Caenorhabditis elegans: one gene and its partner. The protein of the gene in region 2 purifies or fractionates together with the protein of the main gene of each other region. This does not show direct contact. Each region holds a gene or a part of one and is shown on either strand. Other genes may lie near its edges.

Evidence for each region. The genes of interacting proteins can lie anywhere in the genome.
Region 1: the proteins of pph-4.1 (region 2) and mei-1 purify together in Caenorhabditis elegans (affinity purification with western blotting, with the first as the bait; one study listed by BioGRID). This does not show direct contact.

What each region holds. Positions count from the first base shown.
Region 1 is NC_003279.8:8,291,629-8,297,440, reverse strand, and holds mei-1 (Meiotic spindle formation protein mei-1), read right to left. Parts: upstream 2,568-5,812; 5' UTR 2,560-2,567; coding exon 2,383-2,559; intron 2,333-2,382; coding exon 1,994-2,332; intron 1,948-1,993; coding exon 1,220-1,947; intron 901-1,219; coding exon 717-900; 3' UTR 501-716; downstream 1-500. Other genes in the region: abts-1 (Anion exchange protein), read left to right, coding at 37-147; npp-2 (Nuclear pore complex protein Nup85), read left to right, coding at 3,801-3,894, 3,941-4,476, 4,529-4,858, 5,083-5,216, 5,284-5,812. UniProt on the Caenorhabditis elegans protein: Catalytic subunit of a complex which severs microtubules in an ATP-dependent manner. Microtubule severing may promote rapid reorganization of cellular microtubule arrays.
Region 2 is NC_003281.10:12,343,929-12,354,390, reverse strand, and holds pph-4.1 (Serine/threonine-protein phosphatase 4 catalytic subunit 1), read left to right. Parts: upstream 1-3,054; 5' UTR 3,055-3,060; coding exon 3,061-3,161; intron 3,162-3,216; coding exon 3,217-3,340; intron 3,341-3,398; coding exon 3,399-3,524; intron 3,525-3,599; coding exon 3,600-3,878; intron 3,879-5,769; coding exon 5,770-6,011; intron 6,012-8,696; coding exon 8,697-8,826; 3' UTR 8,827-9,068; downstream 9,069-10,462. Other genes in the region: FAM172 family protein homolog Y75B8A.31, read right to left, coding at 594-722, 2,062-2,181, 2,235-2,498, 2,567-2,743; zip-1 (BZIP domain-containing protein), read right to left, coding at 9,396-9,683. UniProt on the Caenorhabditis elegans protein: Protein phosphatase which plays an essential role in meiosis and in early embryonic mitosis.

The DNA.
Region 1 (5,812 bases), on a different chromosome or scaffold from region 2:
AAACTTAGTAAAATATCTGAACGATCTGTTTTTCAGGTAATTCGTCCGTCTCCACACACTTCGACATCGAATTTAACAACTGAAAATACTCCACTTTTGAAGGATGAGGAACCACCAAAAACTAATCCAGATGAACCAAAAGTCTAATTTTTCTAATTTGAAAGCCTTCCCCACTTCCTCTTATCGTGGTCCAGCCCATCACAGATCTTTCTCAATTTTTCCTTACAGTCCACCGTCATAATTCCGTTTGTTATCCCCCGTAAGAGAATCGTGTTCCACAAAATTTGCTTTCTTTTTTTTTTGATCTTTCTTCTTCCAAAATGTTAACCTTTTAGACAATTAAAATTCACACATGAAATTTCCTAAACACTTATCCACTAATAGTTACCCTTCATAAGGGCGGTTTTTTATTCAGTTTCTTTTCTAATCGATGTTTATTTTCTTTCCTGTATCGTTTTTTTTCACTGTCTTCTTTTCTTATATTTCTTTCACAAATGAACTTTTATATATTTCCAAATAATCCAGTGAGTGGCAAAATGATTCATTTTACATACAAATTTAACCAATAAGTATTTTACAGGAAAGAGTGAATCGGGGAGAGATGTTTGGATGAAGGTGGCCTTGAAAATTTTATCTGTACAATGTTTCAGAGTTTCAAAAACCAAAGCTAGGCCACAATATTTTAAACTAAAAGGAGATCACAATAAATAGTTGATTTACATGGCACCAAAAGAGTCACACCATTCTTTGCATTTGAGCATTGTATCTGGACCAGCACTTGGTGAAACTGCTTGAAGAGCTGCTTCAAAGTCAATGTTCCTCACGAGTTCGGCTTTCAGTGATTCCATTGCAGCTGTCAGTTCCCCGCCTCGCAATGATTTGGTGTCGTATCTGAAATATCTTAAGGATTCTTAGTGTCGATTCTTGAAAAAAGTGTTGCAACATCGCGATTAGCAAAATTTTTTCAGCAAACGTACAAAATTGGCTTTTTTTTAATTATGATAATCCAACTTTTCAATCTTAAATTGATATCGAAATTTATAAAAACGGTTCATTTCATCTTAAAATGTTATTTAATTTTGTCTACAAGCGTTTAAAAACATTAAATAGTGCATGAAAGTTGCCATTTCTATACCAGTTTTTGATTCGAAATATTGGATTATCTTATTGAAACAAGCACGTTTTCCAAAAAGATTTTCTGCACATTCCTGCTACCTACCTTCTCAACACATTGATAGCAGCAGTTCTGCATAGAGACACAACATCAGCTCCTGAGAATCCTTCAGTCCTTGCCGCCAAGTCATCATAGTTAATTTCATCGGATTTCGGAGTTCCTTCCATTGATTTTTCGATAAGCTTCTTTCTTGCATCTATATCTGGCAGTGGAATGAAGATTCGCTTTTCGAAACGTCTTCGGAGTGCCTCATCGAGCTCCCATGGAATATTTGTGGCGGCCAGCACGAATACACGTCGCGAATCGAATTTATTCTGTGACCCGTCCATTTGTACCAGAAACTCGGATTTAACACGCCGACTCGCTTCGTGTTCTCCAGAATTTCCACGTTGTCCACCAAGTGTGTCAATCTCATCGATGAAGATTATGGATGGAGCATAGAACCGTGCAAGTTCGAATAACAGACGAACAATCTTCTCGGAATCACCACGCCACTTGCTGGACAGATCAGTCGAGGAAACGGTAAAAAAAGTTGAACTAGACTCTGAAGCAATCGCACGTGCGATAAGAGTCTTTCCAGTTCCAGGTGGTCCAGCGAGAACCATTGCTTTCCATGGTGAACGGAGACCCTGGAAGAATTCTGGCACCAAGAGTGGAAGAGTGACGGCTTCGTGCAGAACTTGCTTCACGTCGTGCATTCCGATTATATCATCTAAAGACATTGTATTTTCCGTATTTGTAGCCATTGTACCACGCACCGCTTGAACAATGTACTGAAAAGATTTCTGATTTTTGTTTCTGGAAAACATAATAACTTACCGCATCATAAGCCGATGCATCGAATGAATCTCCAGCACTATTTTGAGGCAGTATTCCTTGTGTTGGATTCGCAGGCTTCACATCAGCCGGATTCGTGCTCATCGACGACGTTGACTTTGATATTTCTCTGGGACGTGGACCTGCTGCTCCAACTCCTTTCTTTGTTGCTCCAAATTTCGATGAGGATGGTAACGGTGGCGATGGTTTGGACCAAACATCTGGGTCTGCAGGTGGCTCTGGACTTCCACTTTGTCGCGTCATCGCCTCGTGTAGGTCATCTTCATCGCGCACATTTTGTTGGACAAGCTTCAAATTAGCCTCTAGGGCTCGTAGGAATGTCTGAAATTTCAAATAATTCAACAAGCTTTTAAAAGATTTATATTACGTACATTTCTTGCGTCATGCTCGTCTCTGTTGCTTGCCGAAATTTTACAGCTTTTGACATCTGTCATGAGCTGACGAAGAAGATCACCAGCCTCATTCCATCGTCCGGCATCGGACATTGTTTTCGCGACTTGGGCTCGCTCCAGATATCCGCGAATGACTGACTGCACATCCCCATTCATCCTGAAAATATACTTTAATTTTTCAATAATATACACTTCTACAGACGAGAGGATGAAATTTAGTATAAGACAATGGGATTTGGCGGAGAAGAAAATGGCAAGATGATGAATGATAACGAATAGGGAAACGACGGAACGGAGTGTGCGTGGACTTTATTAGATGGGAGAAGAAGATTGTACCGTGAAGATGAATTTAATATTATTTACAGAATAAAATGGTTGAATAGAAAACGATTTTTCTTTTTTTACTTGATATTGGCTCACTTGTTGGAAACATTGAAAGAGTTTAGCCGCAAAACAACAAGTATTTACAGCGGTAGATCACACAAAAAATGATAGGTCAAAAAAAGTTTTAGGAATTAAATCCTTAGCAAAAGGCTTGAAATCTGAGATCTTTCAGCGAGATATAAATGATTAGAACCTTCTAATTGCATATCACTTGAATAAAACCAAAATTAAGCGGCGAGTTATTGATTTTTCAGAAAACAGATTTCTGCTGGTCAAACCTCAGAATTAGCTCATCCGCGACAAACAATTAATTTACACAAAGCAAAAAAAAAAAAATTGATTAATAAAGAGAAGAAACAAGAGCAGTTTGAAAAGGAAATAATTGTTTCACTTGTTTAACAAAAAAAGATCATAAAGGTATAGACGAAATTTGTGTTGTCCGGAGCCAGTTTGATTTGCACAATTATAGTGTAACTTCTTAAAAGATATCTATAGAAAGCTTTTCATAAAAAGTAAAAAAATAATTGCTCAGGGCTCCGCGGAGCTGGAGCTCCGGAAGTATGGCGCAAAAGTACAAGTGTCGTCAGTTAAAATGTCGAGTACGCAATACACCCCAGACACTGTCACGTCTGAATGCACAATCGCTTGCAATTTGAACACTTTCAATTTTCGAATTTTAGCGGAATTCCGCGGAAAACTTTTACATTTTCTTAAATATTCTTCTCATTTTTTAGGATTATTATTATTAATTGGTTTTTTAAAACTGCCGTGTAGTCCATCATTGTACTGATTCGAGATTAAACGCGTTATTTTTGTTCAAATTCCGAGAAGAAACTCAAGAAACAAAAGGAAATTTTAAACCCTATGGAATTATCAAGTTAAAACCGTAAGAAGTTTTACAGAACTCCCGGAAAAATTTTATTTATCAGAAATCTCAATTTTATAAGTTAATGTTTCTACCGTGCTTACTATATTTTTAATACCACTTCACATGACATTAGTATCTCTTTCAGATGACGGATGTCGCTCGAGAATTCGGGATAGCTGTCAGCGACTCCTCCACGGTCTTCGCCTTCCTAACAGATAAAAAAGGATTTTCAAATAAAGGTAAAAATTGCATCTTCTTCAGTTTCCAACATAAGAGATTTTTCAGAAACAGTCTTGGTCGAGAAAGTTTCACAAAATCGACAAATTCTTGCGACACCAAATCTCAGACGACTTGTTATCGAAATGTATTCTGTATTTGATAAATGTCAAAAAGGCTCCTCACCTGATGCACCTCTAGACACGCCTACTTGCTGCACATTCTCTCGAGCTTATCGTTCAGTTCTCTACAATGCCGCCGTGTCTCACAGCAGTTCCGACTTCATGACAGACTTTGCTTTGTGGTCACTTTACGAGAAATTATGGTTTGGAAGAGGTGATAGCTCGATATGTGCGGATCTTATTTCATGGGCCAATCAGAGCTTCACGTTTTCTAGAGGAGCCATGGAATCAGCTGTGGAATATCTGCATCCGGGGAAGACGATTCCAGAAGAATATTGGAAGGGAGTAGCAGTCAGCTTGCTTAGTTGCAATTTCAGCGATTGTGTTGAACTGTTGGAGCTACATGGAGGCGGATCAGAATGTGATGCATTCATTGAGGCTCTCACATTCTTCAATCCCGAAAACTTAGTCGACGAAGCATTAGTAAGACCCATTTATATAATAATTCTTAAACTTCGTAATATTCTTATTTCAGGCTAACACAGTAAATGAATGGAAGGATATCATGCGTGAAAATTTGACAAGTGGGAAGTACGGGAGCAACGAAAATTTCAAATATCTTACGAAGCTCCTACTCGGTGAGGAACGATACCTCGTATCTATGGCTTCACGGATTTTCGACACGTGGTGGCATTTTCTGCCATTCTTTGTGCTTGTCAAGAATCCATTCGCCGGACATGTCGAGCTCATTGAGCTAGCTGATGAGTGTAGAACACTATTCGTTGGAGAAGAGGAAGAGGAGGGTGCAAAGGAAAATGATGTATTCTGGTGTCTTATTTCGAAGGATGATATTAACTTTCAACAGGTTCTTGTTTTTATTCAAGAAATTAAATTAAATATAAATATCTCTTGAAAATAGGCTCACTATTTCTTTCACGATTAATTAAACGGCGACAGAACATTTCATTCAATTTTATCCCAATAAAAAAAAATCAAAATAATGTTCAAGAATATTTAACAATTTTCTTCAAAATAAATTCTAGATTGTTTTAAATAAGAATTAATTAATTTTACTGAATAAAATTTCAGTTGATTGCCTCGAATCCCTGGCTCGCAGTTCACCTGGTTGATCTTATTCACAAATCCACATTGGATCCCGAGTTTGAAGTGATGAGGAAAATGCACATGTTGGACTACGCCAGTGTTCTTATCTCTCATTCTCCGTTAGTTTTTGAAATTTCTAATTACTGAAAAAACATTTTAAAATATAACTTCACAAATTTTTTATAGTCTGTGGGAAATCGGAGCCGGATATCTTATTGCGTGTGGTACCGAAGGACTTCTACGTCTCGAAACACACATCGAAGGGCTTCACATTGAGGATGATGAGATGGCTGAGCAGTTGCTGGAAATATGTGAAGAGCATCGACTGGAAGACGCGAAAAGTTGTGTGACAAATACAATGACTTTCCGGTATCTGAAGCAAGGACATTGGAGTTCAACACTCGCTTGGGCGTTGAAAACTGGATCCAAAAAGACAATTGACTGGACAGTATCTCGAATTGTTGGTTCAAGTTCGAAGGATGAATTGGCTGCATTAAGAGTTTTATCTTCAATAACCAATCATTCTGTACTCTCACTTCCATCTCTTACCTTCCTCTACTCTTATCAACGATTTGTGAAGATGATGCACTGTGGTGATGTACTGGACTGTGTTCAACATCTGATACCGCTTATTATGATGCCTGATGTTCCAACTCAGTATTACTATGATCTCTTCGATTATTTAATCACGATTATCAAAGAGGATGGGCGTGCT
Region 2 (10,462 bases):
GTCTTGCAGCCTCTATTAGTCTTGCACCCCTATTAGTCTTGCACCCCTACGGACCAATCGAAAATTAGTCTTGCAGCCTCTATTAGTATTGCATGCAAGACTAATAGAGGAAATACGGTAATAGTCTTGCACCCCTATTCTTGCCAGACCAGCAGTATTTTGTCAAAACTTCAACAATTTTGCCAGTTTTTAGCTAAATTAAATTTTAAAGTGTTCAAATAATAGATAAAATAATATAAATATATATATATATTGTACGATTTTGACTGTTTCATGTCTAATTTTTGACGATGAATGGTAAATTTTACAAAGCTATTGGATCTTCGAAAATTAGTCTTGCAGCCTCTAATAGTCTTGCACCCCTACGGGTCAATTGAAAATTAGTCTTGCATGCAAGACTAATAGAGGAAATACGGTATATTATTGAAACGTGAAAACGCGCTCCACGGATAATAAGAAACGCTCCACCCACGAACCATGGGTCTCGTTAGGTTTTTGGTCGAAAAACCGGTCTGAATTCCCGATTTTTCCGCCAAATTCTTAACGAGACTTCAATTGCCCGTGGAGCGCGTTTTCTGCGTCCTTATAACTACCCCGTGAGCCAAGAAATTGACGACAAACAATGGACGTGCCCGTTGTGCACAACTTTTCGGAAATTCGAACCATGGAGAATCAGTGAGACAGATTTTCGAAATACGATCGTCTCCGCCAAACTTTTTGAGCTGAAATTTAATGAAATTATATGATTTTGGCGGGTCTCGACGCGACAAATTTTTGTTAAATAGAAAAATGTGTGCGCCTTTAAAGAGTACTGTAATTTAATTTTTCACACGATTTTTTTTCGAATAAAAATGCATTTTTAACTATTTTCCGCTGTTTTTAAATTTGAAAACAGATTTCAGGACTTTTTTCGGCAAAAAAAAAGCGAAAAAACGGGGTTTTTAAGGCAAAATTCCATGTTTTCCTCAATTTTGGGTCTCGAAGCGACAAATTTTTGTTGAATACAAAAAAGTGTGCGCCTTTAAAGAGTACTGTAGTTTTAAATTTTAGTTTCTGTGAAATTTATCGATTTTTCGTAGTTTTTCTAAATAAAAATATTTTTTAATCGAAAAAATTTAAAAAAAATCGCGAAAACTAAATTAAAAAAATTTTTTTCGATTTTTTTTCAAAAGATTAAAAAATATTTTTATTTAGAAAAACTACGAAAACTCGATAAATTTCACAGAAACAAAAATTAGAAATTACAGTAATCTTTAAAGGCGCATACCTTTTTTTCTTATTCCTTGAACACAATTTTGTCGTGGCGAGACCTGAAACAGGGGTTTTTGCCTTAAAAAATCGCGAAAATGTCGATTTTTCGCCAAAAAAAGCTGAAAATAGTTTAAAATCCCATTTTTATTCAAAAAATTCAGAAAAACAGGGATTTTCGCCTTAAAAATCCGGAAATATGTCGTTTTTTCGCTTTTTTTGCCAAAAAAAAAGCTGAAAATATATTAAAATTGCATTTTCCTTTAAAAAAATCAGAAAAACAGGGATTTTTGCCTTAAAAAATCGGAGAAAAGTCGTTTTTTCGCTCTTTTTTAGCCAAAAAAAAGCTGAAAACAGTTTAAATCCCATTTTTATTCAAAAATTCAAAAAAACAGGGTTTTTTTGCCTTAAAAAATCAAAAAAAAAGTCGATTTTTTCACTCTTTTTTGCCAAAAAAAAAGTGCTGAAAACAGTTTAAAATCGCATTTTTATCCAAAAACTCAGAAAAACAGGGTTTTATGGCTTAAAAATTCGGAAAAAGTCAATTTTTTCGTTCATTTTTAGCCAAAAAAAAGCTGAAAACAGTTTAAAATCGCATTTTTATTCAAAAATTCAGAAAAACAGGGATTTTCGCCTTAAAAATCCGGAAATATGTCGTTTTTTCGCTCTTTTTTGCCAAAAAAAAAGCTGAAAATAGATTAAAATTGCATTTTCCTTTAAAAAATTCAGAAAAACAGGGATTTTCGCCTTGAAAAATCGGAAAAACATCGATTTTTTCGCTTTTTTTTGCCAAAAAAGTGCTGAAAATCCCACCACACTGGCTGTGTCGTAACCACCACGACTGTGAGCCACCACGTAGATGCTCTTAGCATTCGATGGCTCAATACACGCTATCCAGACAGTTTCAGCGTGCTCGACAGGTGTGCGGGAGTACTGAAAATCGATTTTTCAGCGAATTTTTCGAAATTTCCCGGGTTTTTTCACACCTTCAAATCCTGATCTTTACTTTCATTCAAATTAGTGTTCATCACCACAACACCCCATCCATTTTCAATAGCTCTTTCGATATACGGAATCTGAGTTCCACACTCCAAATTATCATTGATAATGAGTCTACGAGCCCATTGTCCGGCTCTGACGACACCGCTTCCGTGGATCAATACTAGAAGATTTGCAGCTTTTTTGAAATTTTTCGACACAAAAATGAAGCTTAGATCCTCATCCTCGTCGGTTTTTCCTGGAAGTTTTAGCTGAAAAAAAATTTTTTTTTTTGATTTTTAAATTTTTTTTTCCATTTTTTAAAAATTTCTTAATTTACCGCCTTTCTCTTCAGCCCACAACGTGTCTCCAGAAGCTCATAAACTTCCAGATCAACTGCTTCTCCCAGTTCTTCATAATCCTCCTGTGTAGTGAATTTGAAGGGTTTTTTGTCCTTCTCCGTTTTCAGCACGCCTTTTTCGTCGAAAAAGTACCCGAGTTTCGCCAAACTTGACATTGTTCACTGAAATTTATTTGAATTATTCGCAAAAAAACTGGTTAGAACAGAGAAAATTTCCGAAAAAACAATTTTTAAAATTAAAAAAAAAAAAAAATTTCCTGGCCGCGACCGAGGTTTCTCTCGTCCACACGGCGCAATCGCGCTCTGTTGGCAATCTGGCACAATGCCAATATTACACTGAATTTATATTTTTGCACGAAAAACTCTGGATTTAAAGTCGATTTCGCCTGTTTTCATTGGTTTTTTTCGTTTTTTCGTTTTTAAATTAAATATTAATTCAAAAAATCGATTTACAACGTATTTTACAGCTTTTAATGGCTCTGGCGTGCACCGACTCTGCAAATTCCACATTTTCACGTGTCGACTCACCGACTTCCGGCCCATCGGACCAGCTAACAACTCATGACTTGGATCGGTAGCAGTTTTGATATAAAAACAATAAAATATCAACAAAAAAAAAATATTTTCAGCCACATAGAAAAGCTGATGAGATGTGAGCTCATCGCGGAGCAAGATGTCAAAACACTTTGCGCAAAAGCTCGTGAAATCCTAGCGGAAGAGGGCAACGTCCAGGTTATCGATTCTCCGGTGACGGTTGGTTGGATAAAATCGATTTTTAAATCAAAATTTCCATTTTAAATTCTATTTCCAGATCTGCGGAGACATCCACGGCCAGTTCTACGATTTAATGGAGCTCTTCAAAGTCGGCGGACCAGTGCCGAACACCAACTATTTGTTCCTCGGAGATTTCGTGGATCGAGGCTTCTATTCTGTGGAGGTGCCCCCGCTTTTTTGCAATTTTCCTGGCGAAAAAATTGCAAAAAAAACTCCCAAAAAATCGATATTTTTCCAGACATTCCTTCTACTTCTCGCACTGAAAGCTCGCTATCCGGATCGAATGATGTTGATCCGTGGAAATCACGAAAGTCGCCAGATTACTCAAGTCTACGGGTTCTATGATGAATGCCTTCGGAAATATGGAAATGCGTCTGTTTGGAAACATTGTACCGAAGTTTTCGACTACTTATCACTTGCCGCTGTAATTGATGGGAAGGTTTTCTGTGTTCATGGTGGATTATCCCCGTCGATTAGTACTATGGATCAGATTCGTGTTATTGATCGGAAGCAGGAGGTAAAACGCAAAAAATATGCTGTTTTTAATGGAATTTTGCTTTGAATTTCGGTTAAAATTCGGTGAATTACAATTTTTTAAATTTCCGGCATTTTGCCGAATTTGCCGGAAAGTTTTAAAATTTTCGAAAATGAAAATAACCGACAAATCTGCAAATTGCCGGAATTTAAAAATTTCCGGCAAATCAGCAAACCGGCAAATTTGCCCAAAATGAAAATAACCGGCAAATCGACAAATTGCCGGAATTAAAAATTTCTGGCAAATCGACAAACTGCCGTAATGAAACTTTCTGGCAAATCGACAAATTGCCGAAAATGAAAATAACCGGCAAATCGACAAATTGCCGGAATTAAAATTTTCTGGCAAATCGGCAAATGTTCGAATTAAAAAATTTGTGGCAAATTGGCGAAATTGAAAATTTCCGGCAAATCGAAAAATTGCCGGAATTAAAAAATTCCGGCAAATCGGCAAATTGCCGTAATTAAAAATTTCTGGCAAATCGGAAAATTGCCATGTTTAAAAATTTTCGGCAAATCGGAAAATTGCCGAAATTGAAAATTTCCGGCAATTCGTCAAATTGCCGGAATTTAAAAATTTCCGGCAAGTCGGAAATTTGCCGAATTCGCCGGAAAAACGGCAAATTGCCGGAATTAAAAATTTCCGGCAAATCGGCAAATTGCTGGAATTGATAATTTCCGGCAAATCGGCAAATTGCTGGAATTGATAATTTCCGGCAAATCGGCAAATTGCCGGAATTTAAAAATTTCCGGCAAGTCGGAAATTTGCCGAATTCGCCGGAAAAACGGCAAATTGCCGGAATTAAAAATTTCCGGCAAATCGACAAACTGCCGAAAATGAAAATTTCTGGCAAATCGGCAAATTGCTGGAATTGATAATTTCCGGCAAATTTCCGGAATTAAGATTTTCTGGCAAATCGGCAATTTGTCGATCATGAAAATAACCGTCAAATCGACAAATTTCCGGAATTAAAATTTTCTGGCAAATCGGCAAATTGCCGAAAATGAAAATAACCAGAAAATCGGCAAATTTCCGAAAATTTCCGTTTAAAAAAAAATTTCCGTTTTTTTCATTAAAAATTTTTTTTTTTAATTTTCAGACTTTTTTCTAATTTTTTCTCATCAAAATCGACCAATTTAATTTTTATTTCATTTATTTCGATTTTTTCCCCGAAAAATACTAAAAAATTCAAAAAATAGTCTCAAAATCAGAAAAAAACCACAAAAACGCGATTTTTGTCTTCAACCAATCAGCGATTCGCTCCGCCCACTTTTCAACCAATCAGATGGAGTGGGCGGAGTTTGAGTTCTCATTTTGGAGGGAATTCAAAATTGAAAAATCTTTTTATTTTTCTGAATTTGATACTATTTCGGATATTTTGAAGCGAAATTTCAAAATTTACGTTAAATTTTTCGAGAAATCACTTTTTTCCAGCGGGGCGAAGGTTTTGCAAGTCTGCGGTTTGCTATATTTCGATTTACGGAGAATTTTGTAATACACACGGACAAGCGTCGATTAATTTTTTAATTTTTTCTAATAGTAAATTTACAGTTTTGGGCCATTTTTGCCAATTTTTTTTGGTGTTCAACATTAAAAATTGGGTCCATATATATATATTTTTTGAATAGTGTTTACAAAAAAAATTACAGAACTGAAGAACAATTCGAAAAAAAAAAAAAAACGCTTATCCACGTGTAGCACAAACTCCACCGTAAATCGACAGAAATCAAACCGCGCCGCAGGTTTGCAAAACCACCGTTCCGCCTCAAAAATTGAAAAAAAAATCAATTTTTTAATCAAATTTTGTTCGTTTTGATAGAAAAACGTATAAATTTGTGCTAAAAAAGCGAAAAAAAATTCTGAAAATTTCCAGGTTCCCCACGACGGTCCAATGTGTGATCTACTGTGGTCGGACCCCGAAGAAGGAAATGTTGGATGGGGCCTAAGTCCACGCGGAGCCGGTTATCTATTCGGAGCGGACGCGTCGAAAACGTTTTGCGAAACGAACGGAGTCGATTTGATCTGTAGAGCTCATCAATTGGTTATGGAAGGATATAAATGGCATTTCAACGAGAAAGTGCTCACTGTTTGGTCGGCGCCCAACTATTGTTATCGGTACGGGATGGATTTGGAAAAAAAACGGAAATTTTTTTTTCGTGAAAAAGACGAAAAATTAAAATTTTTGGTCACTTTTTTATCATTTAAAGTATAATTTTTAGGAAAAAATACAATTTTTTTCTGAAAATTTGAATTTTCCCGCTAAAATTTGTTTCCAAAAAATTTAAATTTTCCCGCCAAAATTTGATTCCAAAAAAATTCAAATTTTCCGGCCAAAATTTGTTTCCAAAAAATTTGAATTTTCCCGCCAAAATTTGTTTCCAAAAAATTTGAATTTTCCCGCCAAAATTTGTTTCCAAAAAATTTGAATTTTCCGGCCAAAATTTGTTTCCAAAAAATTTGAATTTTCCCGTCAAAATATGTTTTTAAAAGAAAATTTAAATTTTCCCGCCAAAATTTGTTTCCAGAAAATTTGAATTTTCCCGCCAAAATTTGTTTCCAAAAAATTTAAATTTTCCCGCCAAAATTTGTTTCCAAAAAATTTGAATTTTCCCGCCAAAATTTGTTTCCAAAAAATTTGAATTTTCCGGCCAAAATTTGTTTCCAAAAAATTTGAATTTTCCCGTCAAAATATGTTTTTAAAAGAAAATTTAAATTTTCCCGCCAAAATTTGTTTCCAGAAAATTTGAATTTTCCCGCCAAAATTTGTTTCCAGAAAATTTAAATTTTCCCGCCAAAATTTGTTTCCAGAAAATTTGAATTTTCCCGCCAAAATTTGATTCCAGAAAATTTGAATTTTCCCGCCAAAATTTGTTTCCAAAAAATTTGAATTTTCCCGCCAAAATTTGTTTCCAAAAAATTTGAATTTTCCCGCCAAAATTTGTTTCCAAAAAATTTGAATTTTCCCGCCAAAATTTGTTTCCAAAAAATTTGAATTTTCCCGCCAAAATTTGTTTCCAAAAAAATTTACACTTCCCGCCAAAATTTGTTTCCAAAAAATTTGAATTTTCCCGTCAAAATATGTTTTTAAAAGAAAATTTAAATTTTCCCGCCAAAATTTGTTTCCAGAAAATTTGAATTTTCCCGCCAAAATTTGTTTCCAAAAAATTTGAATTTTCCCGCCAAAATTTGTTTCCAAAAAATTTGAATTTTCCCGTCAAAATATGTTTTTAAAAGAAAATTTAAATTTTCCCGCCAAAATTTGTTTCCAAAAAATTCAAATTTTCCCGCCAAAATTTGTTTCCAAAAAATTTGAATTTTCCGGCCAAAATTTGTTTCCAAAAAATTTGAATTTTCCCGTCAAAATATGTTTTTAAAAGAAAATTTAAATTTTCCCGCCAAAATTTGTTTCCAGAAAATTTGAATTTTCCCGCCAAAATTTGTTTCCAAAAAATTTGAATTTTCCCGTCAAAATATGTTTTTAAAAGAAAATTTAAATTTTCCCGCCAAAATTTGTTTCCAAAAAATTTAAATTTTCCCGCCAAAATTTGTTTCCAGAAAATTTGAATTTTCCCGCCAAAATTTGTTTCCAAAAAATTTGAATTTTCCCGCCAAAATTTGTTTCCAAAAAATTTGAATTTTCCCGTCAAAATATGTTTTTAAAAGAAAATTTAAATTTTCCCGCCAAAATTTGTTTCCAGAAAATTTGAATTTTCCCGCCAAAATTTGATTCCAGAAAATTTGAATTTTCCCGCCAAAATTTGTTTCCAGAAAATTTGAATTTTCCCGCCAAAATTTGTTTCCAAAAAATTTGAATTTTCCCGCCAAAATTTGTTTCCAAAAAATTTGAATTTTCCCGTCAAAATATGTTTTTAAAAGAAAATTTAAATTTTCCCGCCAAAATTTGTTTCCAAAAAATTCAAATTTTCCGGCCAAAATTTGTTTCCAAAAAATTTGAATTTTCCCGCCAAAATTTGTTTCCAAAAAATTTGAATTTTCCGGCCAAAATTTGTTTCCAAAAAATTTGAATTTTCCCGTCAAAATATGTTTTTAAAAGAAAATTTAAATTTTCCCGCCAAAATTTGTTTCCAGAAAATTTGAATTTTCCCGCCAAAATTTGATTCCAGAAAATTTGAATTTTCCCGCCAAAATTTGTTTCCAAAAAATTTGAATTTTCCCGCCAAAATTTGTTTCCAAAAAATTTGAATTTTCCCGCCAAAATTTGTTTCCAAAAAATTTGAATTTTCCCGCCAAAATTTGTTTCCAAAAAAATTTAAACTTCCCGCCAAAATTTGTTTCCAAAAAATTTGAATTTTCCCGTCAAAATATGTTTTTAAAAGAAAATTTAAATTTTCCCGCCAAAATTTGTTTCCAGAAAATTTGAATTTTCCCGCCAAAATTTGATTCCAGAAAATTTGAATTTTCCCGCCAAAATTTGTTTCCAAAAAATTTGAATTTTCCCGCCAAACTTTGTTCCCAAAAAATTTGAATTTTCCCGCCAAAATTTGTTTCCAAAAAATTTAAATTTTCCCGCCAAAATTTGTTTCCAGAAAATTTAAAATTTTCCCGCCAAAATCACGTAGTGCCAGAGTGTCCCATTTCGGTTTGATCTACAAAAATGCGGGAGAAGTGACGCACTGATTTTGCATGATTAAGAACGTGTTGACGTCACATTTTTTGGACAAAAAAATCCCGCATTTTTTGTAGATCAAACCCAAAAATTTGTTTCAAAAGAAAAATTGAATTTCCCGGAAAACTTGAGCTTTTTTTGCAGTAAAAAAAAACTTAATGAAAATTTTCCAGATGCGGCAACGTGGCGGCAATTCTCGAGCTCGACGAGAATCTCAACAAGGAATTCACAATTTTCGAAGCTGCTCCACAAGAAAATCGCGGAGCACCGGCCAAAAAACCGCACGCCGACTATTTCCTCTAATTTTTTCTCGAAATTTTCTCGAAATTTCTTTCTCGCCCAAAAATTCCGAAGAATCTCCCCCTTTTATATCGCCGAAACACCATTTTTTTCCTTTTTTTTTTGCTCCCACAAAAATATTTCAATATTTAATTATTATTTTCCACACACACACACACATTTTTCTGTAAATGTCCACCCCCCTCCAAATTTTACGGATTTATTTTTTTTTCGACAAAAAAAAGTATTAAAATTTATTTCATGCTATTCATTTTTAAAACCGATTTGATTTGAAACAAAAAAAAACAATTAACCGTATTTGGGGAGTGAGAAATGGGAAAAAAATAAAACATGAAAATGGAATTTTTCACAGAAAAAATCGAAGTAAAATACAATTGATTGGATAAAATGGGAAAGCTGCGACCAATCAGGTGGAGTGGGCGGAGTGGGCGGAGTTCAAAGTCGCTGATTGGTCGGTGAGAAATTGAGAAAAAAATGGATTTTTGAAGCTTTAAATATAACATTTTGGATAAAAATAACTAGTTTTCAAAGATTTTTTAATTTTTTAATATTTTTTTCGCTCAAAAAATCCTTCAGCTTGGCTCAAATTGCTGGAAATTCTCATCAAAAGCCTGCTGCTCGGCAAGCTTGGCACCATCCATGTATCGGTTCAGTTCTCTTGTGATTTGATTGAGTACCACTTTAATCGCATTCGCCTCCCTCAGCTCAACCTCCTCCTTTTTGAGATTCAACTGATGGTCGGCGATCTCGAAAGCCGTCTTCGCACGGGATTTTTTCGAAGCAAACGTATTTTGAGGTAGTCCTGCGATTTTTTTGACACTCGTGTATTGTCCGTAGTCCTGTTCGGTTTTGTTGAAGGCCTGAAAATGTTGAGAATTGGGGAAAAAATTTGATTTTTCACAAAAAAAAAATTTTTTTAAAGTTTTTTTGCCAGTTTTTCTTATGTTTTTTATCACGGATTTCTGGTTTCCCTCCATAAATTGAAATGGAAGAGTTTTTGCCGAATTAGGCCAGGCCATATCTGGGGTAGATTTACGGCGCGCGTTGCGTGTCGCGTCGCGGCTCGATTGTAAAACTAAATGTATTTGTCCGTGTGGAGTACACGTTGTCCGGCGGGGGTGATTGTCAATGGAGCGCGAAAAAATCAATGAGGAAGGCCAGAAGCCCGTGAAAAAGAAAAAATTTAAAAAAAAACTATATTTGATAGTGTTTTTGGATTTTTTGTTTAGTTTAAATTTTTACTTTTTTTTTGTTGCTATTTTGCCAGTTTTTCTTATGTTTTTTATTATCAAAAATCGATAAAAATTGGATTGTTTTGTTTTTTTTACATTTTTTTCGATTTTTCAAAAAAAAAAAGCCTTAAAATTTTGGCAATTTTTCATATTTTTAGAAAAAAAAACTGATTTTTTTGTAAATTTTCAAACCATTGTTTTCCGATTTCATCTATCCCCACACGGGCCCTTTCTGGCCTTCCTCATTGGATTTTTTTTCGCGCTCCATTGATAATCGCCTGCCGGACTCCACACGGACAAATACATTTAGTTTTACAATCGAGCCACGACGCGACACGCAACGCGCCGTAAATCTACCCCAGATATGGCCTGGCCTAGTTCGGCAAAAAACTCTTTCATTTCAATTC